Drosophila melanogaster: one gene and its partner. The protein of the gene in region 1 interacts with the protein of each later gene in a biochemical or structural test. Each region holds a gene or a part of one and is shown in the gene's direction. Other genes may lie near its edges.

Evidence for each region.
Region 2: the proteins of Ubc6 (region 1) and p53 form a complex in vitro, tested with the Drosophila melanogaster proteins (one study listed by BioGRID).

What each region holds. Positions count from the first base shown.
Region 1 is NT_033777.3:4,945,048-4,956,500, reverse strand, and holds Ubc6 (ubiquitin conjugating enzyme 6), read left to right. Parts: upstream 1-3,818; 5' UTR 3,819-4,004; coding exon 4,005-4,048; intron 4,049-5,748; coding exon 5,749-6,034; intron 6,035-6,096; coding exon 6,097-6,222; 3' UTR 6,223-7,746; downstream 7,747-11,453. Other genes in the region: Jhbp3 (juvenile hormone binding protein 3), read left to right, coding at 2,096-2,165, 2,223-2,893. UniProt on the Drosophila melanogaster protein: E2 ubiquitin-conjugating enzyme that accepts ubiquitin from the ubiquitin-activating enzyme E1 and transfers it to a E3 ubiquitin-protein ligase. Required for postreplication repair of UV-damaged DNA.
Region 2 is NT_033777.3:23,045,896-23,058,186, reverse strand, and holds p53 (p53), read left to right. Parts: upstream 1-4,104; 5' UTR 4,105-4,178; coding exon 4,179-4,222; exon of another isoform or gene 4,223-4,281; coding exon 4,282-4,605; exon of another isoform or gene 4,606-4,792; coding exon of another isoform or gene 4,793-4,830; exon of another isoform or gene 4,831-4,987; coding exon 4,988-5,068; exon of another isoform or gene 5,069-5,138; coding exon 5,139-5,175; exon of another isoform or gene 5,176-5,238; coding exon 5,239-5,265; exon of another isoform or gene 5,266-5,271; intron 5,272-5,283; coding exon of another isoform or gene 5,284-6,498; intron 6,499-6,956; exon of another isoform or gene 6,957-6,967; coding exon of another isoform or gene 6,968-6,997; intron 6,998-7,062; coding exon 7,063-7,372; intron 7,373-7,436; coding exon 7,437-7,683; intron 7,684-7,745; coding exon 7,746-8,140; intron 8,141-8,199; coding exon 8,200-8,222; 3' UTR 8,223-8,530; downstream 8,531-12,291. Other genes in the region: Ctns (cystinosin), read left to right, coding at 1,934-1,988, 2,049-2,145, 2,216-2,398, 2,464-2,824, 3,011-3,299, 3,356-3,458, 3,559-3,664; Gr94a (gustatory receptor 94a), read right to left, coding at 5,284-6,498; CG17121 (uncharacterized protein), read left to right, coding at 10,167-10,454, 12,270-12,291.

The sequences.
Region 1 (11,453 bases):
TAACACACACTCCCCCTCGATTATCCATCAAAACGCCTACACGTGCGCGATGAATACCCAAATGCCCGGCAGAACAAATCTCTATGCCCAACGCGAAGCTTACCACATCCGATTGAATAATAAACTATGAATGAGTAACAAACATCTCAGCACTCCTCACTTATCTAACGCAGCTACGAGTATCACTGGGATGAGGCTGGAAGATGATCTTTGGCTGGCTACCGAGTTGCGTGCTCTTCGCCAATTTTGCACCGCAATCAGCATCCTCATCGAACCGTGTCATAGGCAACCAGCCACAGCTTTCTGAATCTTCGCTGATCTGAAGACAGGGAAAGCTTTTCGCCCGGCGATCGCCATTATGCAATCCGTCAGCACAATTTTCAGAGTTAACAGGTTGTCAACACACGACTCCCCATCTAAGATGTTCGCGTGGCGTAATTACGCCGGGCACGGTAGCGACTAGAACGATCTTCCTGGCCCCGTGCCTGCCCCTGGTTTTGGTGGGGAGCTTAACAACCGCACGTTCTGACCCTCGCTAACTACCGACCCCACACTCGGAAGAAAACCCCTTTGAAAAGGTCGAGAGTTTTGTTTAGTTCGGCCTCATATGCTGCATTCAACACATGTGTATGCTCCGCTCTGCCAGGCAAGCTTAAGTTGCATGTAGGAGTAGTATGAAGGCTGAAGCCCTCATTTGGCCAGTACCCATTTCGAATCGAAATACGTTGGAGGAGCCTAAAGAAGTTGAATACATTCTCAGAAGACTCAGTTATTCATAGCGTCATAGTACGAAGTAGCGACTTGCACCCTCAATTTCCCAGTGCCGATTCTGGGAGATCCACTTCGGGTCTCAATTTCCGGTTTGACCTGCGGTCTGCATTTTCCCGACCAACTGGCAATTTTCCCGCTCGACTGACTCCGTAAGCGTTTGTGCTTGGGTTGGTCGCCGAAATACGGTAATGGAACCCACAACCTTTATTACAATTATTAAATAGTAGCTGCTTAGCGTCTTGCTCGCCCTCAGTAGCTCTCTCTCTCTCTCTCTCCCTCTCGCTCTCAGCTGTCCATCTCTTTCTAGTTGCTCGAGCTTACCAGGCGATTTCTGGGGGAGGGGGCGTGGCAGGGGCGTGCGAGTTCTACGTCGTGTGTTTTGGAGTCCACAGCTTGCCCAAGCTCTCATGTAAATCGTAGCGTCAGTTTTGCTATAAAACACGCCGGTCTTAACAATTTAGCATTCAGTACGATCCGTTGGCGGTTACTAAAACAACACCTGACTTCGACAGCTCGAGAACGTTGAGAAGCCTTCGACTATTTGGAAAAAGATAACAAATCGGTGCCAAAACAAATAATTGCGAATACAATTGAAAACTCTTCTAAATTGTGTAATTTTAAGTTTTTGTGTAAGTCGGCTGGCGAATCCTCTAGATCTCGGGAACGCGAAATCATCCCTTGTCCCTAATTGGGTAAACCATTTAGCAAATCCTTTAAGGATTGAGTCTAAACCGAATTTAATTTGAATACATTTTTTTTACATGTTTTTTATTTACGACAAAAATTGTTTTCCTTTAGTTATCAACTCGTTGTTCCGTTCTTAATTTACAATAATTCCTTACACATAGGTGTCTATTTTAGTTTTAATTTATTCAAGGAACCCAGATCGAGCAATTAAAAATGTTTTCATTAGAGCAAATTGACCCAGTTTATTGTATTATTGTGCTTTACCAAATGCATTCCAGTTCAATACCTAAAGTACTCCTTTGCATTATTTATAACCAGCCCTACGCTCGATCGCAAAGACTATTAAGCCGCAATCAAAATCAATTACAGTCTTGACAACAAAACAGGTAGCAAATGACAGTAATTGAGCAGTCTAGAGATCCTCCCATTTATTAGACTGAGTCGCAGCTGCGTAATGCCTACAATCAACCACTTCGGATGATAATAGATACTCGTATGGGTGGTGGATCATTTTAGGGGTGGGCCTGGTGGTTAATGCTGCCCCTGCTGACGAACTTTGACGTCAATAAAATGTATATTTCTGCCTAATAGTAAATAAACTGTTTTTTACAGAAACCAATTGAAACTTACACGCAAAATGCAGTTCCAACTCATCGTAGCCTCCCTGTTGATCTGTTTTGTAGCATGCATCTCAGCTGGCAATATGCGTAAGTAACGAAGACAGTTCACTATAGTCCAGTATACTTATCAAGCTTGTTCTTCAGCTGACTATATCCAGGTGTGCCATCGCAACGATCCCGAACTGTCGAAGTGCCTGAAGAGCAGTGTTCACAACTTGCGACCCTATCTGGCCAAGGGCATTAAGGAACTGAACGTACCGCCGCTAGAGCCCCTCTACATTGGAGATCTGAGCATTCTGGATGGATCCGCCGGGCTCACGGTAAAAGCCAAGAAGCTGAACATCCTGGGCGCCTCCAACTTTGAGATCACCAAGCTGCGGGCTTCCACCCAAAACCGACGCTTTGACTTCGAGTTGATTCTGCCCCATCTCCATGGCGATGGGCTCTACGAGATCAACGGCAATATTTTGGCACTGCCGATCAAGGGCAATGGGCCGTTCACTGGAAACTTCACCAACTTTGTGGCTTATGTGCGCGTCCAGTACGACATTAAGAGTGTTAATGATCTGGAATACCTGCATGTCAAGGAGTTCGTCCTGAAGATCCGCACTGGCAAGGGAAACCTGAAGCTGGAGAACCTCTTCAACGGAGACAAGGTTCTGGGCGATGTCATCAATGATACGATCAACCAAAACTTCGAGGTCTTCACCAACGACTTGATCGCACCGATTGCCCGCGCCCTGGAGGCCAAGTTTCTGGTCATCACGACCAAAATCCTTGAGAACTTCACCTACAGCGAGCTTTTCCCCGTCTAATAATCTTGCTAACTGTAGTTAGGCTAAATCTAAGCTTGTGATACACTCGATTTGTTATAATTAGTCCCTAAATATTCAATAATAAATTTTAGAAATTTACGCAAATAGATTTGAAATTGAATGCGTCAAAGGAAATTATGTCTTGATTATCGTTGTTGGGAGAGTTTCCCGACTACCAGATACCCGTTTCTTAGTATCAACGGGAGCAGCTAAGCTGCTTGGCCACAAGCCGCCCATAACTATTACGATTTTGAAAAACGTTTGGATTATTTCTTTATTATATGTATGTATGTAAGTCTTGCAGATTTGTATCGGTATGCCGCGCCCACAATAAAATTTTTGGCCGATTTGGTCAAGAGTCGCTTTCCGGCTTCTAAATCTTCATCTCCTCGCAATCCAAGTTGGATTAACGGGTATCTGATAGTCAAGCTTTATCTTGCTTTTCTTAGATATCATAACTTTGGTACAAAACTGGTGTTTTGATTTTCATTTCATTTTTAGTAGTTTCAGTTTATAAATATTATTGGAACTACCATAAAATTATGTTTGCTTATACTAATATTTAATATGATAAAACGTAACTAGCTTTTTTAGCAAGGACGAAAGAAAGGGAGACATTCAATAGAATTCTTATTTTTCTTGAGTCACCTGTTTTAGAGGAATACCTCTTGTTTTTGCCATGTCGCTCAATTGTAAAATTTTTCTGCAATCGGACCCAGGTTGTCTAAAGTTCAAATTAATTTTGGTTTACAAATACTTCGATCAGTTTTCTGCAGTGTTAAACTTACACTTCGAAAACTCCTATTCGTAAAAAACATCAATAGGAAACGTATTTTGAATGGTCTGGCAACCTCTGGCAACTCATATTTACGCTCAATGCTGGCTGGGTGGCAGCTCTGTGCAACGAAATTGATTTGAGCTCCAGCTCTACGTGATAGTATCGGGGAAACATCGGTTTTCGTTCCAGCTCTATACCACTGCTGCCCGAGTTTGCCCTCAATTAAAAATAAATTACAAAATTTCATCGTTACCGTTCGCTAAACGCAACGCATTGCCCAGGCGTCCGAGTTCCAAATCCAACACAACACGAGTGGTAGTATCGCTGTGAAAAATGTCAACACCCGCACGCAGACGTCTTATGAGAGATTTTAAAAGGTGAGAAGAAACTAAGGAATCGAATGCGAATAGAAAAGAATACAAACAAAACGAAAGCAAAGGAAAACAGGAAGGCAAGGAGCGAATGGCAAAGTACACACAACCGTTGGATTTTACGTTTTACGTGTTTCTCGTTCCGAAAAAATGCTGGGGAAAAGAAACCTGGGGGCTGCCCAATACATATAAGCAAACACACGGACACACGTATATATGACTGTGCTCCACGTCTGTATGTAGTGGAAAAGTTTGCGCAGCCAAAATATGTACGTGTGCATGTGCCCATGCTCGTGTGCGTGTGCGTGTGTGAGTGGTTGATTATTTTCGCTGCTTTGCTCGTGCGAAAAACAACAATTCGCTTGTCTTTGACACTTGACTTTGATCTGAATGTGTGTGTGTTCGCGCGCGGTGCGGGGTAAAAGCAAGAAAACAAAGGGGAAAATTGGGAAAACCAAACAACATTCTTCTTCCGCCGTTGCCGAAATTGCGTCGCAGCAAAACATTAACGTTTCTATCCGCCTGACTCGGCAGCTGCATCCTGCCCGCTACCCCCTCTCGCTCGCACTCAGCCTTGTTGACTCACGCGAAAGAGACGAAGCGCTCCTATTGGAATTTCATTCGGCTTCGAAACTTTCATCATCCCGAAAGTTGGCGCTGCAGTGCAGATTGCAGTTGAGGAATACGAAACCAAATGTCAAGGCTGTTTGCGTGGGCGCGGGCTCCTGCCCCCCGGCAAAGTTCCAATGTACCACCCCAAGAGGCAGAGCAACTGCACAGAAGCATATCTGACAGCATACATCAGATACCCCTTACTCAGCTAGAACGAGTTCGAAGTGGAAATTTCGAAACTAAAATAAAAAATAACATCGTCAATTTTATACTTTGTGGGGTCCGAATCTAGTATAGTTATTGAGTACTCGGGACTGATTAGTTTGAGAAACACAAATTCTGTTTTGCGAAAATGTTTCATCAGGAATGCAATATTCAAATCGTAATGCGAATCGAAACTGACTCCATTTTAGAAGTCTAGTTTTTGATAAGAGTTCATTAGAAAATACCTGTTACACATCATTGGATACCTATAAATAAATTATGAACATTTTCAACAAGTTATTTTAATAGCTCGTATTACCGCCCAAAATTGACCTTTCAAGTTCATAAATTTCAAAATATGCTTCAGACTTGGATATTGCATATCTTATTTCCCAGTGCACTGTCGCGTTTCTTAGCTTGTTTAATCGATGATTTCACTTGGCCCGTGTATCGATTTAAGCCGATTGAAGGGCGCGGTTAACCGGGTTGCGCCGCCCGCTAGCTGACCTAAATCGCAGCCAATCCCGGCCAGGTAACTTTTAGATTGTTTTTCATCACTCTATGTCTGACCGTTGCTTTTGGTTTCTTCTGTGTTGCGGAATATGTATACAAATAGGCAGAATTTGGTGTCCACGGGACCGTCAACTCTTGCGACGATTAAAGACTTACGTTTCAAGCACATTGTTCGTAAGATCATTAACTAAAGACAATTACAACAAGAAGATAAAAAATAATTATTAGCTTTACATTGCAACCTAGTCGGCAAATGTTAAGGTAGAGTTTTTTATTTTCGCCTCAATTGGAATTTATACAATAAATAGTATATTTGTGTAAACAAATATGCATTAACTTATTTATTTACAACACTTTAATTTGATACTTACCTGCAGACTTCAAGAGGATCCACCTACGGGTGTCTCGGGTGCTCCAACAGATAATAATATTATGATATGGAATGCTGTGATTTTTGGTCCACACGACACACCCTTCGAAGACGGAACATTTAAGTTAACCATAGAATTTACGGAAGAGTACCCAAACAAACCGCCAACGGTTCGATTTGTATCGAAAGTATTTCATCCCAATGTATACGCAGATGGTGGAATATGCTTGGACATATTGCAGAACCGCTGGAGTCCCACGTACGATGTGTCAGCCATATTAACATCCATACAGGTGAGTTACTCTGCTTCTGGATCCAGTAGCTATAGCTTAATGTGTATGCTTCTGATTTCCAGTCACTGCTGAGCGATCCCAATCCCAACTCACCGGCTAACTCCACCGCCGCCCAGCTGTATAAAGAAAATCGGCGCGAGTACGAGAAGCGTGTGAAAGCCTGCGTTGAGCAGAGTTTCATCGATTAGCCATGCGCCCACTTTAGGAACAGCAGCAGCATCAGGAGCCGGAGCCACAAAACGAGCGGCAGCAGTTTAGTAGGCGACCGCAGCTTAAAGCATCAGCAAACTACAGTAACAGAAATATGCAATACCATAAAGAAGTTTAAATTAAATAATAACAGAAATATTTATGATAATTGTAATGCTATGAAATTGTAACACCGCCAACGGCACGGCACAGCAGCATATATACACCCTGCGCACACAATTCGCAACCCATAAATACTGGGCAGTTTTGAGTTATATTTGTTTGGCCAATAGTTACACCTTGTCCCCAGCCCGATCACCCGATCCCGAAGGCAGACGCAATTCACTTAAAAAATTAGGAAGTCCTCTATGGATGCAGCCGCTAGTTGCGCCGGCAGCCAGAAATAAGACTCTTATAAGCTAAAAACTCAAATGTTCTAATTTAAAAAAGCAGCGGCAATAATGTTTAATAATAAAACAAAAATTATAAAAACCATTTCAAGCGATTGCAATGTCAAATAGTTTCATTTTAGATGCGCGCAAACCCAGTCCTGTAAAACTAAACTCAACCAATGCCTAAACGAAAATTAATATTTGTAGTAGTTCGTGGCTCAGCAAACACGTACACAAGAAACATACATTTTGAATCCGCTTGAAAACCTAGTAAACAATTGTCCAGTGTCGTCATTTATGTGAACTATATGTATCTACCAAACCCCAACATAAACATACACATGCTACCTAGATCGAATTATAAGTTTATTGGCTACAAATTGTGAAATTACTAGAAATTGATAATTAAATGTTAGTTTTTAGCAATGTAAACCAATCCACACGGTATGTGACATGGTACAAGTCTCCAAGTTGGGAACAAGCAAGCAAATATATATGCATGTATTCCTCGGTAGCTTCCATTGACCAATGCTCTATGTATTTTGCCCGATAATTTTGGTGGCTGACCGACGCTTTACTTTTACCCTATCTCTAAGATCTTATCCTTGGCCTCATTCAAGTTTACACCCTGATTTGGTCAGCTATGATGGCCCAAGAAGAGATTTGAGCGGGGTCTTTTTTCAGTGTAAAGTGGGATGAAAACATCTCCTAACTGCCATTTGCCACGCTATGTACTCTCTAGGTTCCACTGTGTCTTGGCTGCGGCAATTGATTTAGTTAGTTCTTAAGCGTTTACAATCGACTTTTATTCATGTTTTTTGTTGAATGCGAATTGCTGTACCTTTTGCTATAAACCCTCCACTTTTTGGCACTTTGTGTTGGATGCTCTGAGCATCATGTTAACCATATATATGATAAAATTACCATATAGCAGCATATTGTTTTATTAACTATGAACCAACTAAAGCAGAGGAGACAGTAACCCAATTCAATTCACAGTAATAGTAAATCAAAGAATGAGGATTAGCAACCGATTCAGACAATGTGGAATTTCAAATTACCTTACTGTAATTAACATTATTATTATTAATAAAGTTAAGATTTCCAATATCAATAAATGAAAGTAACACGAGTACACCTTGTTTAAATTAAATTTTAACGGAACTATTTTATACTCCCCTTACAACATGTCGAGTTGGAGCTAAAATGGTTGCTCCAAATCAATTGTCCAAAAGTCAATTGTAATTAGGAGGAAAGTGACAGTGCTGCCAAGAAAATGTCAACTATAGTGTGCTCCTAAATTCGTACCAACCAATTAAAAAGAAGCATTACGACATCATCATCCGTCACGCAGGTAGTGGGAGTGCATGGGCAGATTTTAAAATTCTTCCGAAAAATAAGAAAACAAAATAAAATCAAACCGTTATTTATAAATTGTGCGCCTTAAATTCCATTGAATTATAATTCTCCAAGTTTATGATAATACAACAGGACTTATTTTCAATAATACTGTGTATAAATAAATTTATATATTCAGAGTAAAAGCTCAACAACTAATTTTATAAAAGATTTGGTGAACAGGCACGGTTTCAAAGTCAGAGTACAGGACCAAGTTACATATTCACTTCAGCGAATTGATTTTAGTTTGTGTTAAAATTGCTTTACATCTGACTGCAGTCAAACACACTAGAAAAGTCAGTGTTGGGATTTTGTTCATACCCACCACAATAATTCCCAACTAGTTCTAGTTGCGCCCTCATGGAAATTCCTATGCCGAGCTAAGCAAAGCATACTTACCTGGCGTAGAGGTTAACCGTGATCACGAAGGCGGTTCCTCCGGAGTGAGGCTTGGCCATTGTACCTCGGCTGAGTTGACCTCTGCGATTATTCCTAATGTGAATAACTCGTGCGTGTAATTTTTGTTAGCCGGGAATGGCGTTCGCGCCGTCCCGACATTCGTAAATAAATATGTACATATGCAAAGATAACTGTTTTAATCAGGCGTTTAGGGTAGTTGAAAACACGAAGTTTGTGACTATTCTCGATTTTTACAATTATTTTAATTCGTTTTTATACCCATTACTCGTAGAGTGAAAATGGAGGAAGCGTTTCCGACTATATCATCAAGTAAGTCCAGCCATATCAGTCTGCCCGTATAAACGTCGAGATCTCAGGAACTATAAAAGCTAGAAGGTTGAGATTCAGCATACAGATTCTAGAGACAAAGACGCAGCGCAAGTTTGTTGACCCATGTTGCCACGCCTACAAAATTGCCACGCCCACACTTTTAAAAAACGTATTGATATTTTTTCACATTTGTATTAGTCTTGTAAATTTCTATTGATTTGCTAAAAAGCTGTTTTGGTTTGTCAGATAGTAGAATTATAATTTTAAAAATATGTGGAAGTTGTCCTCGACTACCCCGAACGTTGGATAACCCGATGTCATGAGGCATAATTTGGTTAAGATATTTTCGAATTTATCAGATTTATGGTGTATATGACATCTGTGCATAATAAAGCGATACTTTCCGGGTTTTTTTTTTAATTCTTTTAAAACTCTGTTATTGAATTCATCCAAATCGTCCATAATTAGTCGTTGGCGAACACTCATCAAAGCCAGTCCATTAAGACGACTTTCTACCATTGTTCTTCGCAGCCAAGTCCTTATACGTCTTGAGCTGCTAAATGACCTCTCAACTGAACAAGTTCTACACGGTAAAGCGATTAACATCTTCAGAACTCTTTGAATATCGGGATTTAATTCATTTGCGTGCTGAATCGTATCAAGAACAGTCATTTCAGATACATTTGTTTCCTTATATTTTGAAGGCTGGGTAAATCGTAAAACTACTTTTGATAAGTGAGTCTGCTGACATTATTTGCATTTTTGCCGGATGTAAATAGAATAAAAAAAATGATACATTATTCTCATCGGAAAACCGATTATCTAGTGAGCTAATAATTGATTCCAAGTAAGAAATAAACAATGACCTCCTCCAATACTCTGAGCTTTTTTCAGCTGGACGGTTTTTTCGGTGACATTGCTTGCCAAATATACGAGAAAGTGATGTTATATCCTCCTCCAACACAATTGTCTCTGCAACGACTGTTGCATCTCTTAATACTTCATCCGTTATACTATCAGGATCATCTCGATGGCTTCTTAACAGTTGTATTATGCGTTTAATGTGCTGATAGGCCTTGACCGCATCCAAAGTAGTTGATTAAAGCACGTTGACTACCGGCTCCAGCATCGCCGAGTATTTCGCATTTATCGTGAGACGCATAATAAATGCTATTCTGAAGGCAGCGCTAAAAAGTAAGAAGGCATACTAATTGTATAAACGTTTTTTTTTTTTTTCTCTTAGTACTTCACCACAAAGGCTGATGATTTCATTTTGAATTTCAACTGATCGATAGCTTGCATTTCCTTTTCCATGCTCCATATGCTTTTTTAAAACATTGTCTCCAGCGTCGATTTTAAGCTTGAATAAGTCCTCTACAATTCCATCACCGTAGTGATTTTCTCGGGATCCGCAAAACACAATATAGGAAATAATAGATGTTATTATCTTTCTATTTTCCTGAATAACGTTTTGGTATTTATTTATTTGTGCGTCCACAAGCACATTTTCTAGAAATAATCTAGCAGCTTCTTGTGCCGCCTTATGAAAGTGGCTTTCCATGTGTTTTTTGCTATGTTCGTGGAAATATTTAAACTTGGAAAATGACTTTTGACAACAAAAGAACCCAATACTCCGTGAAATGAATTTAGATTTGGCGGAAAAAAAGGCGCCATATCCGCAAAAGGCACCTTTTTGGCAACGTGAATATACCAACAATAAAAGATTTAAGAACTTTGTAAAATCAATCCCGATATAGTAAAATAATAGCGCCAAAACACAAAAATTGATTTCTGAGGTTAACTCATACCCACGGCATGAACCATTTAACAGGATAACAGCTGCCCTACCCTGGCGACGCCCTTGACCATGGCTTTACCATTTCACTCCGATATCCAATCATCCAAGTCATCCAAGTGGACTGCACACGAAGATCGTAACAGTAAGCTGTCAAGGTTATGGCGTTTGTATTGATAGGCGTGGAATAATTTTCATTGATTACCTTGAAGATGGATTGACCATCAATAGAGCATATTACATAGAGTTATTAGACCGTTTGAAGGTCGAAACCGCCCGTGTCACAAGTTAGTGAAAACGATGGAAAAAATCCATGAAATGGGCTTCAAATTTCTTCTGATTTTTTCCGAATTTCTTACTATGGTAGGCCGACGACTTAGTTGTTTTCTTGTGTATTAATTTTTGATATTTATTAAATGTAATGACTTAAGCTTATGATTATAAATTTTATAATTTATGTTAGAAAATACAATTTCAATTACACATGCCTTTTATAATATTTTTATTTGATTTTGGAATCAAGTTTATTTTATACATTTCTTCCACAATAAAACTCAAAAAAAATGGATAGGACTGCTTTGGAAATCTAAAACACTTAAAGCCAGCTAATTGGTACACTTGCAGGAAAATATAAAATATTTCCCAAAGAAACAAAGACGAACACACCGACAAAGTCATTATATACAAATTCACTATAAACCGGCCATAATAGGACATAGAAAACATCAAGAAAGTAATGTTGGAGATAAAGTAAACATACATAAAATGGAAATATTGGTTGTGTTGTATACGGTGTGTAAAAATAGAATACTAAAAGGCGTGGCTATGCGTTTGATTTTTGAGTGCCTCCATTATGGAATTGCACAAATATGTGGGACCAACGCGTCTATCCTGGAAACACTGAGTTCTTTTAGTT
Region 2 (12,291 bases), about 18 Mb from region 1:
AAGTTTTCGAAGTCTGGGGAGTATTCGGCATTGGAAAGGCCAAAAGTTGTGTTTTATTATATTTTGAACATATTAAACAGGATACATAAAACGAGAGTTTTAGATTGTAATTACATTTGTCATATCTTTTGCTAAATTGATAAGTAAACAGAAAATATGACTCGATGGATATTATTGACTAATAATATATATTTAGGGGTTTGGTATGATTACTTTGTACTGTGAGATACAAGTTCGTTTGTCCCACAGATACTTTTCAATTCATAGCTTATCCTACAGATACATTTCAATTCATAGCTTATCCCGTAGATACATTTCCATTCATTGCTTATCCCACAGATACATTTTAGCATATTTTTTTTGAAATTTGAATTTGAAAAAAAAGTGTTTTTTTTTTTTTTGTTTTGAGAACTACTCGTCTTGTCAAAATATTTAACTGTTCCCGACTGAAGTGCCCACCTTTTCGGCCGCCGGGTTCTCAAGTGCAAAAATAATGTATAATAAAAAGCCAAGATACGTCGGCGGTCCGCTCTCGCCCCACTTGTTGTTGCTGCTGCCGCTGGTGCGTCGCTGCCGCTGCCGCAGTCGACGTCGACTCCATCGCTCCAATATTTAAACGGATCCATTGGATCGCGCACTCAGTCGCACTGGAGAGTCGCCATCGCAGCCATCATCATAGCATTCCATTCCACTTGTAGCCATCGGCAGTCGCTCAATCGTCAGTTGGGACACATTATTTAACTTCATTCTTAACGTGAGTGAATTGATGTGTTGGGTGGCGATCATGCATATAGCATAGGCAAACAACTGTTCTAATCCGCATTATCTTAATCACAATAATCCGGCGGCTTATACAGATGTTTTGCGTTAGCAGTTGGCGGCTAAAAGCCTCTGCTTGCCCACATGCCAGTGAAAGTTCTAATCCGGCTCAAACAGACGCACAACAAGCGTATCTCGTGCGTGGAATCATGAATGAATAAATGGGTGTTACTGTTAACTAACAATGGACCTTTTTACCAATCAATCGTCTTATCTATCACCAGAATTGAAACAGAATTAGTGAATAACTTATGGTGCATATCAGTTGAAACATGAAGATTCGTGTGAACGATCGTGAAAGATATGGTGTTCGAACTTTAAATTACCCTTGTAGTTTACCACTCTCATTAGTTTTGATTTATGTAGAACCAAAATTTGGATCGTGACTTGCGATTAGTATTGCAATCGCAGTGCATTGCCCAATCTATTGATTATCTGCAACTTGTGGCAGACTGCCGCAATAATTCGACGGACACTATCAGCTAGCTCCATTGATTGAGATAAGCCCGTTCTCACGCGGTGTTTTACACTTCTTGGCAATCGCCAAGTCACGGCCCTCGCCATATAAAAAATATAGTATGAACAATCGGGAATCTTTTGGTTTTACGATCGACCGACAAAGCCCATGTATTTCCTGTTACGTCCATTTGGGCCATATAGGCACATAAAATGGGTGCTCCAACGCTTGCCGTGGGAAAGTGTGCTCCAATTGCAAAGTTGTAACATTGAGCGACATTTGATGAAGGTTACCGACTTTTATCTCGACAAAAACACACACGAATTCCAGATGAAGCGAGCGTGCGTAGTTTGCACTGCAAGTTTTTTTTTTGGAACAAATAGTTTTATGTTTATATCATTTTATATCATATTATATTCCTTATTGATTGAGTGTCTGCACGGGTCATTAAATTAAGAAGCAAAAAAAAAAAAGGTGTCAGGAATTGCATTCCATACTCCTACGAGTAGATATCAATTTCACCCGATCGTGGTCAATTGGTCAATTGAAGTAATTCACAATTGAATCAATACAATACCATATAGGGCTTCATTGAAGAAGATGCCAGCAGGACTGGATGCTCATGCATGAATAAGTTGAACGTTGAACGCAAGCAGAATGGATTTCAGCACACACCGCCTGACCACTTTGCTGCTCCTCCTCCTGGCCACAGGTGAGATATCGCAATCCAGATATTGCGATCTAATAATGAGGGAATTTCTCCTGCCCACAGTTGCCCTGGGAAATGCCCAAAGCAGTCAGCTCACCGTCGATTCCCATGACATCACCGTTCTGCTGAACAGCAACGAGACTTTTCTGGTGTTCGCCAAGTGAGTTGCCATTGCCGGGAAATCCAAATCCAAAACATATGGCATCGTAAATCTATTGTGCCCATTACAGCGGATTGCTAGACAGCGACGTGGAAGTTGCGCTGGGAACAGATTCGGAGGATCATTTGCTCCTCGATCCCGCAACGTTTGTGTATCCAGCGGGCAGTACTCGAAATCAGTCGGTGGTGATAACTGGCCTCAAAGCCGGCAACGTCAAAGTGGTCGCAGATAGCGATGATGCGAACAAAGAGATGTGAGTAACTTCACGGGAATCCCAACTGTTCCCGTACCTAATTGGAAAATTCACTTATTTTCCAGTGTGAAGGATGTGTTCGTACGCGTGACTGTGGCCAAATCGAGAGCTTTGATCTACACCTCCATCATCTTTGGCTGGGTTTACTTTGTGGCCTGGTCGGTGTCCTTCTATCCGCAGATCTGGAGCAACTATCGCCGCAAGTCCGTCGAGGGACTGAACTTTGATTTCCTGGCCCTCAATATCGTGGGCTTCACCCTGTACAGCATGTTCAACTGCGGCCTCTATTTCATCGAGGATCTGCAGAACGAGTACGAGGTGCGATATCCGCTGGGAGTGAATCCTGTGATGCTCAACGACGTGGTCTTCTCACTGCATGCCATGTTCGCCACCTGCATTACGATCCTTCAGTGCTTTTTCTATCAGGTAATAATATATATAGCAAATACCATTCAATAGCCTTATCGCCGAAGTGGCAACAGTTGTCGCATTGAACACTAATTGCCATCAATCAAAATGCCAAATCATTTGAATCACAGCGGATAGTTACGATATGAAGAGTAGATAAGGTTTTGACTTGTAAAACATCCATACTTTGTTAAATTTGTCCAGAGAGCACAGCAAAGGGTGTCGTTCATTGCCTACGGAATATTGGCCATCTTCGCCGTGGTGGTCGTCGTGTCTGCCGGTTTGGCCGGAGGATCCGTCATCCATTGGCTGGACTTTCTGTACTACTGCAGTTACGTCAAGCTAACCATTACCATCATCAAGTACGTGCCGCAAGCTCTGATGAACTATCGCCGGAAGAGCACCTCCGGCTGGAGCATCGGCAACATTCTGCTGGATTTCACGGGAGGAACGCTGAGCATGCTGCAAATGATTCTGAATGCTCATAATTACGGTAGGATATAGTCTATCAATTTGTGATTTTCGAATGAAATCGTGTCTGGTTTCCAGATGATTGGGTGTCGATTTTCGGTGATCCCACCAAATTCGGACTGGGTCTGTTTTCCGTGCTCTTCGATGTGTTCTTCATGCTGCAGCACTATGTGTTTTACAGGTGATTGAAACATTGTGTGAATATGATACTTAATCTACGATTATGTCATCTCCACTGTACACTTATCATTATTGCTGTGCTGTTTTCCATTTCTCCCCAGGCATTCGAGGGAATCCTCGAGCTCTGACCTCACCACCGTGACCGATGTTCAAAATCGAACAAATGAGTCGCCGCCGCCGAGCGAAGTGACGACTGAGAAATATTAGAGCTGCATTATCATATGTCTGCTGTAGAGAAAGACTTTTGTGCCAGTAGCGCTTTATGTACATTTTTAGAATTGTAAATATATCCGTATGCCGTAGCTGCCTAAGCTTTGTATAATTCGTGCGTTTTAATTGAAATTTAGTTTGACTAAAATTTGGAATTTCACCATTAAATAAAACTTAATTTTTTGTAGGAGCCAGAAATCATACGGTACATTGCTCGACCATTCAAAGGGCTGTGCAGTGAAACCAATTTGCTGCATACGGCGCGTTATTTGCAAACTAATAAATAGATTGAAGTATTGAAAAAATTTCAAAACAGAAATTCTAACTTGCCGCACAATGGGCAGCACTGTTCGCACTCGGCCAAATCCTTATCGATAGCTTATCGATAGCCATGGATATATGACATTAAGTTAGCCAATTTCCGGTTAGTTGACATCCCTGGAGCACGGAAGATTCTTGCGGACACAAATCGCAACTGCTAAATAAAATTTATTTATTTGAGTGCACAGCCATGAGTCTTCACAAGTCCGCGTCGTTTAGCTTGACTTTTAACCAGTGAGCGGAGATATTTTATTCGGTCTTACCCAACAAAATAATGTTGCGCCTTTTTGCAGAAACACTTCGATTGTTTCGCGTAGCAATAGTCGCACAATTTTTGAAGCTTTCAAGGAGTTCCTGGATTTTTGGGATATCGGCAACGAAGTTTCTGCAGAGTCAGCAGTTCGGGTCTCCAGCAACGGAGCTTTCAACTTGCCGCAGAGTTTTGGCAACGAATCCAACGAATATGCCCACCTGGCTACGCCTGTGGATCCAGCCTACGGAGGCAACAACACGAACAACATGATGCAGTTCACGAACAATCTGGAAATTTTGGCCAACAATAATTCCGATGGCAATAACAAAATTAATGCATGCAACAAATTCGTCTGCCACAAGGGGTGAGCAAATTCAAAACACGCGCTCCAATCGATAAACATTGGCTACGGCGATTGTTCGCGCTGCGTGGCGAATGGCAAAATCCAAATAGTCGGTGGCCACTACGATTCTGTAGTTTTTTGTTAGCGAATTTTTAATATTTAGCCTCCTTCCCCAACAAGATCGCTTGATCAGATATAGCCGACTAAGATGTATATATCACAGCCAATGTCGTGGCACAAAGAAAGGTACAGTGCGGCAACAAATTGATGATCGAACAGTAGAAACCTTGCATGTAGCAACACGCTTGTACTTGCATCATTCGCGCGGCCAACTTGTTTGTGTTTGTTTATCCAGCCAAGGCGCAGTTTGCCACTAAGTTTTTATTTCCCTTTTACACTTTAGCACTGATTCCGAGGATGACTCCACGGAGGTCGATATCAAGGAGGATATTCCGAAAACGGTGGAGGTATCGGGATCGGAATTGTGAGTACCTGGTCACGTGGTCACATGTGGTTTGCCTGGTTGCTAACTATTATTGTTTTTATTATTCCAGGACCACGGAACCCATGGCCTTCTTGCAGGGATTAAACGTGAGTTGTGCTTTTAATGTGCAAAGCTATAGCTTACTAACTATTTAATATTATTCCCCGCAGTCCGGGAATCTGATGCAGTTCAGCCAGGTGGGTAACATCGATTAGCTATTGCATCTTGAAGCGCTGGGACAGATCGGCCTGCACGAGGATCAGCAGGAAGCTGGCCACCGCCGAGAAGACATTGCTGATCAGTCGCATGTCCAGCTCGTACAAGCCCAAGGGTTTAATTTGGTACTTGGTCACCGTGACCAGCAGAGTAAAGCCGTGGACTGCCTGACGGTAGCGGCTGTCCGCATGCTGGAGATTCATCTCCTGGAGAATGACTGCCGATCTTCGGGTGGCCACCAATAGGTGGTTGCACAAATGCGTGAGCAATGTGATCTCCGCCAGCGAGATGGAGAGGAAAACCAGATTGATCAGCGATCCAAGACCATCGTACGGCTTGCCCATGATTAAGGTGTCCGCTATGGCATAGTACAGACTGTAGAAACCCACCGTTATTCCGAGCAGGTGGCATATGAGCGACAGAATCATGGACAAGGACATTGGGGTCAGATACTTTCCCGAATGCACATATATCAACCTATAGCGATACGCCAGCTGGTCGAGTTCATCCGCCAAGGCGCAAAATCGCTGCATGCGGTAGTATTTAGTGTACAACTTTAGCTGGTCCTTCCTCTGCAGCAGATTCACCTCCTGCAGCTGCGCTTCCAGCCGTCTGTTCAGAGCGTACAGAATCTCCTTCACCACCACCATTGCGCCAAAGTAGCAGTTATTGAGAAAATTCGAAATAATTAAGGGAAACAGCCGGTACAAGGTCCAGATCAAGCTCATCTCGGGATGCTGCCGCCTCTGTTGCAGTATGAAAGCCACTTCAATTGTTAGAGGAAAAGCCACGGTCTTGACCAGAGCCAAAACGATGGATATGTACAGCGACCTGCTGTCCAGACGGAATTCTTTTAGGGTATCAAAGAAGGGCACTTTGCTCAACACCTTGGCCACATGGTCACTGATTATCATTTGCGACACATAGTTAATAACAGCCACCGTAATGTTCATATAGCTGTACAGAGTGGTGGCGTCCTTCAGGTTGATCTGACCCTCCTGGTACTCCTTGTAGATTTGCCGCCCGTAAACCAAGCTGAATGCAATTGCCCACAGCGAAGCAAAGGCCAGATTTGCCTTTGAGAAGCGGAATCTTTCACGACGGCCCGCCCGATATCGATTGGCCAGGAGTCCGAAGACGGTCATAAAGCCTATCAGTATGATCGTCAGAAATTTCACCATACGCCGATGCGCGTAGTCGCTGGTGAAGTCCATTTCTCTCGAACAATTAATACAAACTGTGAGCGCACTTTCCACAGCATTAATATCTGCTTAATTGTTTTCCAACTACCCAACTGATGCCATCTAGAGGACCTGTCAAGTAGCCGGACACTATCGGGACACATCGCGAAACGCATGTATTTCACCGGCCGTCCAGAAACCAACTGAGCATGCGTTGTGCTACTACTAGCCACAAACAAAAGAGCATAAGAAGCGTGAGGGAAGCGGCATTCCTTGCGTGACTCAGCCGCTGCCTGCAATTTCATAAGAGCGACATGACGTCAAAGTCGCTTCGAAGTTCACTTTCAGTTGGAGGACAGAACAAAACACTCTTATCTAGCCGATTAGCACGGTGCACTCCTTCCCGTCGTCATCGTTTAGCGAGAATTTCAAGCACTTGTGAAAAATAGAATAGAATACAAAACAAATCGCCAGTCCATTTGTAACTCGAGCAAGCTGGAACATGAAGCTCTATCAGCTCTATGAGCGCAAAGTGTGAACCCTTATATGATTGCGAGTTAAGTTGACATTCAAATAATATCTTGTTTTTGCTTACAGCAATCCGTGCTGCGCGAAATGATGCTGCAGGACATTCAGATCCAGGCGAACACGCTGCCCAAGCTAGAGAATCACAACATCGGTGGTTATTGCTTCAGCATGGTTCTGGATGAGCCGCCCAAGTCTCTTTGGATGTACTCGATTCCGCTGAACAAGCTCTACATCCGGATGAACAAGGCCTTCAACGTGGACGTTCAGTTCAAGTCTAAAATGCCCATCCAACCACTTAATTTGCGTGTGTTCCTTTGCTTCTCCAATGATGTGAGTGCTCCCGTGGTCCGCTGTCAAAATCACCTTAGCGTTGAGCCTTGTAAGTGAAGATAACAATACAGATCGAACAGGATTATTTAACTATCATTTGTACAAACCTTTAGTGACGGCCAATAACGCAAAAATGCGCGAGAGCTTGCTGCGCAGCGAGAATCCCAACAGTGTATATTGTGGAAATGCTCAGGGCAAGGGAATTTCCGAGCGTTTTTCCGTTGTAGTCCCCCTGAACATGAGCCGGTCTGTAACCCGCAGTGGGCTCACGCGCCAGACCCTGGCCTTCAAGTTCGTCTGCCAAAACTCGTGTATCGGGCGAAAAGAAACTTCCTTAGTCTTCTGCCTGGAGAAAGCATGGTAAGGTGACAGCAAAACTCTAGATGGCTAGAACAAAGCTTAACGTGTTTTCTTTCTTGCAGCGGCGATATCGTGGGACAGCATGTTATACATGTTAAAATATGTACGTGCCCCAAGCGGGATCGCATCCAAGACGAACGCCAGCTCAATAGCAAGAAGCGCAAGTCCGTGCCGGAAGCCGCCGAAGAAGATGAGCCGTCCAAGGTGCGTCGGTGCATTGCTATAAAGACGGAGGACACGGAGAGCAATGATAGCCGAGACTGCGACGACTCCGCCGCAGAGTGGAACGTGTCGCGGACACCGGATGGCGATTACCGTCTGGCTATTACGTGCCCCAATAAGGAATGGCTGCTGCAGAGCATCGAGGGCATGATTAAGGAGGCGGCGGCTGAAGTCCTGCGCAATCCCAACCAAGAGAATCTACGTCGCCATGCCAACAAATTGCTGAGCCTTAAGAGTAAGCAGTGAATCGGAGGACAAAGAGATTAAGCTTTACTTACCGAACTTTCCTTTCAGAACGTGCCTACGAGCTGCCATGACTTCTGATCTGGTCGACAATCTCCCAGGTATCAGATACCTTTGAAATGTGTTGCATCTGTGGGGTATACTACATAGCTATTAGTATCTTAAGTTTGTATTAGTCCTTGTTCGTAAGGCGTTTAACGGTGATATTCCCCTTTTGGCATGTTCGATGGCCGAAAAGAAAACATTTTTATATTTTTGATAGTATACTGTTGTTAACTGCAGTTCTATGTGACTACGTAACTTTTGTCTACCACAACAAACATACTCTGTACAAAAAAGCCAAAAGTGAATTTATTAAAGAGTTGTCATATTTTGCAAACATATCCTCGTGGTGTACGCCAATGCCCAGAGCCTACTGTACCCCCACCGTGGAGCACATGCTATGTGACATGTGTGGCTTGTGTGCGGTCAATGCACTCAGGATGCAACTCAGCTAGCTAGCTGCTAATATGTCAAAATTGCTGCGTCGCATTTACATACTTTATTTATACCCGTATCTGCACGTCTTTGGTTTTAGTTCTATGCTTTCAAAAAAAAAAAAACAACCTCAAGCAGGGCGCATGCGTTGCGCCAGCGTTGCACATGTGCGAGGATGCAAAAAAGTGCAACAAACACCAGATGTTGACACTGTGCCGCTGCAGCTGCAGGCGACTTTAGCTTTTGCCACATGCGGCAGCTAAATGTTTACTCTAGCCCACCGATCGCTGTTCATTGACCTAGGGCAGGGGCATTAAGTGCGCCCTAATCGTAACGGAATGATAGCCTCTGTGTCCAAAAATTCAGCCAAAGCGGATGCACTCACTTCCATTTGGGGCCTGTCCTTCTTCGACCGGCTGCCACTTCCACTACCAGTTTGGCACCACGAAAATGGGTCGTTCAAAGTGCTCAAAACCCAGCGGAGCAACTCACTCAATTCTCGTTGGACGAGCGCACAGAAAAGTGGTTTTGGATACGAGTTGAGTTCGAGAGACCTTTCTGCACTGGGAACATACATGCGGCTTTGTGTAACAGAATAATAAAGTACGCAAACATATCTGTAATACTTAAAGCACAAAGAACAAATATAAATGTATCATAATTTGTTTAATTATTTATTCGAGGTTTCCAAACAAGTCATTCTGATAACAAAAGTTGTAAAAATAAAATCCACTAAAATTAAATATCACCCACTTCTCAGAATAAGCACAGCTGTATATACTTCAGTATATATTTTTTTCAGTGCACTTTTCCCAAGCGATGCAATCGCCTTAGAAGCCCAATTAAATACGTTTCTTTGATTGGCGGGTGCCAAAAGGTTGACAATTCGAAAGTGGCGCACACTGGGAGGCAGTGACTCATAATTTACATAATTATTTCGGGAAGATATTAAGACTCATACTATATTCAAGCAGTTGTTTATCATTTTAAACTGGCAGATACCCCATCTTTACGGACCAGATAAAGGGAAAGCAAACACGGCTGGGCTCTTATCGGCTACGATCTTCATCCGCAGTTCCCACTGTGCGCGTGGGGAAAACAATATGGCCCAAACACATAAAAAACAACAAAAAAAGGAAACAACCACAGAAAGCCGGGCTAAGACGTCAGGTGAAACGCAGTAGCTTCACTCGCGACTCGGCGCTTCCACTCAAAGGTGCTACCGCTGCCCACTCAAATCTGCAGCTCGTAGATACGAAAACCAGATAGCGTCGAGCGGCTGGCGATCTTCACTCAATGGGGGGAAATACTGCTATAGAGTCGAAAGCTTGTACACGTAGTTTGGCATTCGCAGTCGCTTGTTGGCGTTTTTAGTCTGCTGCCTGATCTTCGACGCGCTGCAGCTGTTTTGGAGTCGCCGCGAGTGCCATATTTGCTTTGACCGCGAAAATTTCTGGGCTAAAAACAGAGATATTTGAGATACAGATACATATATCTCATATCACATATTAGCCAATTGTGGGTGCAACAAGCTGTGAGTGATGGTGGAGACGGCAACGACAACGACCATAACCCGCACCACCACCGCCGTTCCGGCTGGTGCAGTAACGGTAACAGGACCCACTGCCTCGGCCACGCCCACCGCGACACAGGCGGCCGCGCAGGCGCATCGCAACGATGAGACCACCCGGGCCATCTTCAATCTGAAAGTCATCGTCTTTCTGCTCCTCCTGCCTCTGGTCCTGCTGGCCGTCTTTCTCAAGCACCTGTTGGATTACCTATTCGCGCTGGGACTCAAGGAGAAGGATGTCAGTGGCAAGGTGGCACTGGTGAGTTGCATTCGAGTGCCCATTGGGGCTAACAAATGGCTGCAATGAGCGTCTGGCAAATGAGCCATTAATAAGGCTAGTCAGATGCACATCAGACATGGATGCACTTAGAAAATGCAGTCGCATTTCATGTTAAGTACTGACATTAAAAAAGAGATATATGTCTGTGTTTAGATACATCTTTGGGTACCAAATTAGGTTCAGATACTTCGTAAAGAAATTGGTAATGGTATACTTTAATCGTTGGCTTCATGTGAATTTGTTTTCCCAGTATCCGCTTCTAAGTGATCTTGTATCTGACGACTACTTAGCCAACCAGAAACGTCACGCACTTTCCTTTTCCAGTGGCTGCCTCCGGGTTTCCACCACGCCCACCTTTGGCTCACCCACCTTTTCCCCTTTCCCGCTTTTCTTTGCTTTTTATTTCTCCTCTTTTTTTTTTTTTTGATGTCACTGCCATTAGGGTGCGGTCGATCGCTTAGTACTGTGTTATTAATGTAAATATTTATGCGTTTGGTGCCCAGCTTGGTTAGTTGTTGGCCAATTGTTTAGTTGTGTCCACAGAGCCGCGTCTTTGGTGCCACGGACAGTTAATGTGACATAATTTCGCTGTAAGCGCTGCAATCAAAGTGAATCTCCAGCTGAAATCGTGCTCATGGCAACCATATCGCGCTCCAATAATCACATATGCATCTTGGGGCGTCGAATTATGGAGAAGTCAATTGCCAATGGGCGCCAATGCCACTGGACAAGGTCAAGTGATGATGCCGCTGCCGATGCTCCATATCGTAAAGAACCTGATCGAATTCGGAACCCATTAGCATGCTTTTCAGGCTTTTTATAGTGGGCGTGTGCCGGCCATAAGCGTCTCACGTAGCGTATTAATGATTCACAGCGGCCCGACTTTTGTTTTAGTCTCAGCTTTTTTTTTCGATCGTTCCCTCAGATATCGTTTTCTCAGATACAGATACACATACAGATACATTTTTGTTGCGGTTGCACAGTGGTATTTTCGGGTGGCAGGGACTGGAGAATTCCCATGCCAACTGTTAGCAGCAACTTAATTATAAGATTGACTTTCGTTGATAAGTTCTATTGACATCATGGTTGCGGAATTCGAGTTATTTCAGCTCAAAAATACCCCCTTTTTCGACACCACTGGCCAACGGCCAACTGCAAACTGGTTTTGCGTGTGTCGCTATATTTATTTCCAAGATGAACGAAAAGAGCGCAAAAATGCAAACCTCAGAAAGTTCACTTTTGTTTTCAGTCTAATGTTTGTGTTTACAAACAATAGAGTGTAGAATTTCGATGGGCCAAAGTATCTGCAAGTGTGTAGCATGCCGGGTATCTCTCAGATGCGTAGATAAAACTCAACTACTGTTGCCGCTGTTAATTTGCATATGATATTGAAATTCTTCGGCTGTTCTATAATCACAACAACTGCGCATTTGTTATTGTTTTCCCCATTGCTAGTCGCTAACGTGCCAAACTCTGAATTGAACTCATTCCGGCTTACATTTCGATTCACCCAACTACCGCACACCCAAAACGGCGGCTGAGGTCACCCAGTGGGCTTCAATTACGGTCAAAAGTCACTCAATTGTGCCCCAGAGGGTCGGCCCACCGAGCGTATGAGTAATGCCATTCATAAGTCGCCTCTGCCGCTGTTGCTGCTGCTCACATAATTGTCCGTAAATGAGGTTTTTGTTCAATGCGAAGTCACATTAGCTCGAGTTGATTGTTTGCAAATTAAGCTAATTAATTTACTTGAGTATACGAGTGTAATGTGAGTAACCTGTGATTTAAACCCAGGTGACCGGCGGAGGCAGTGGGC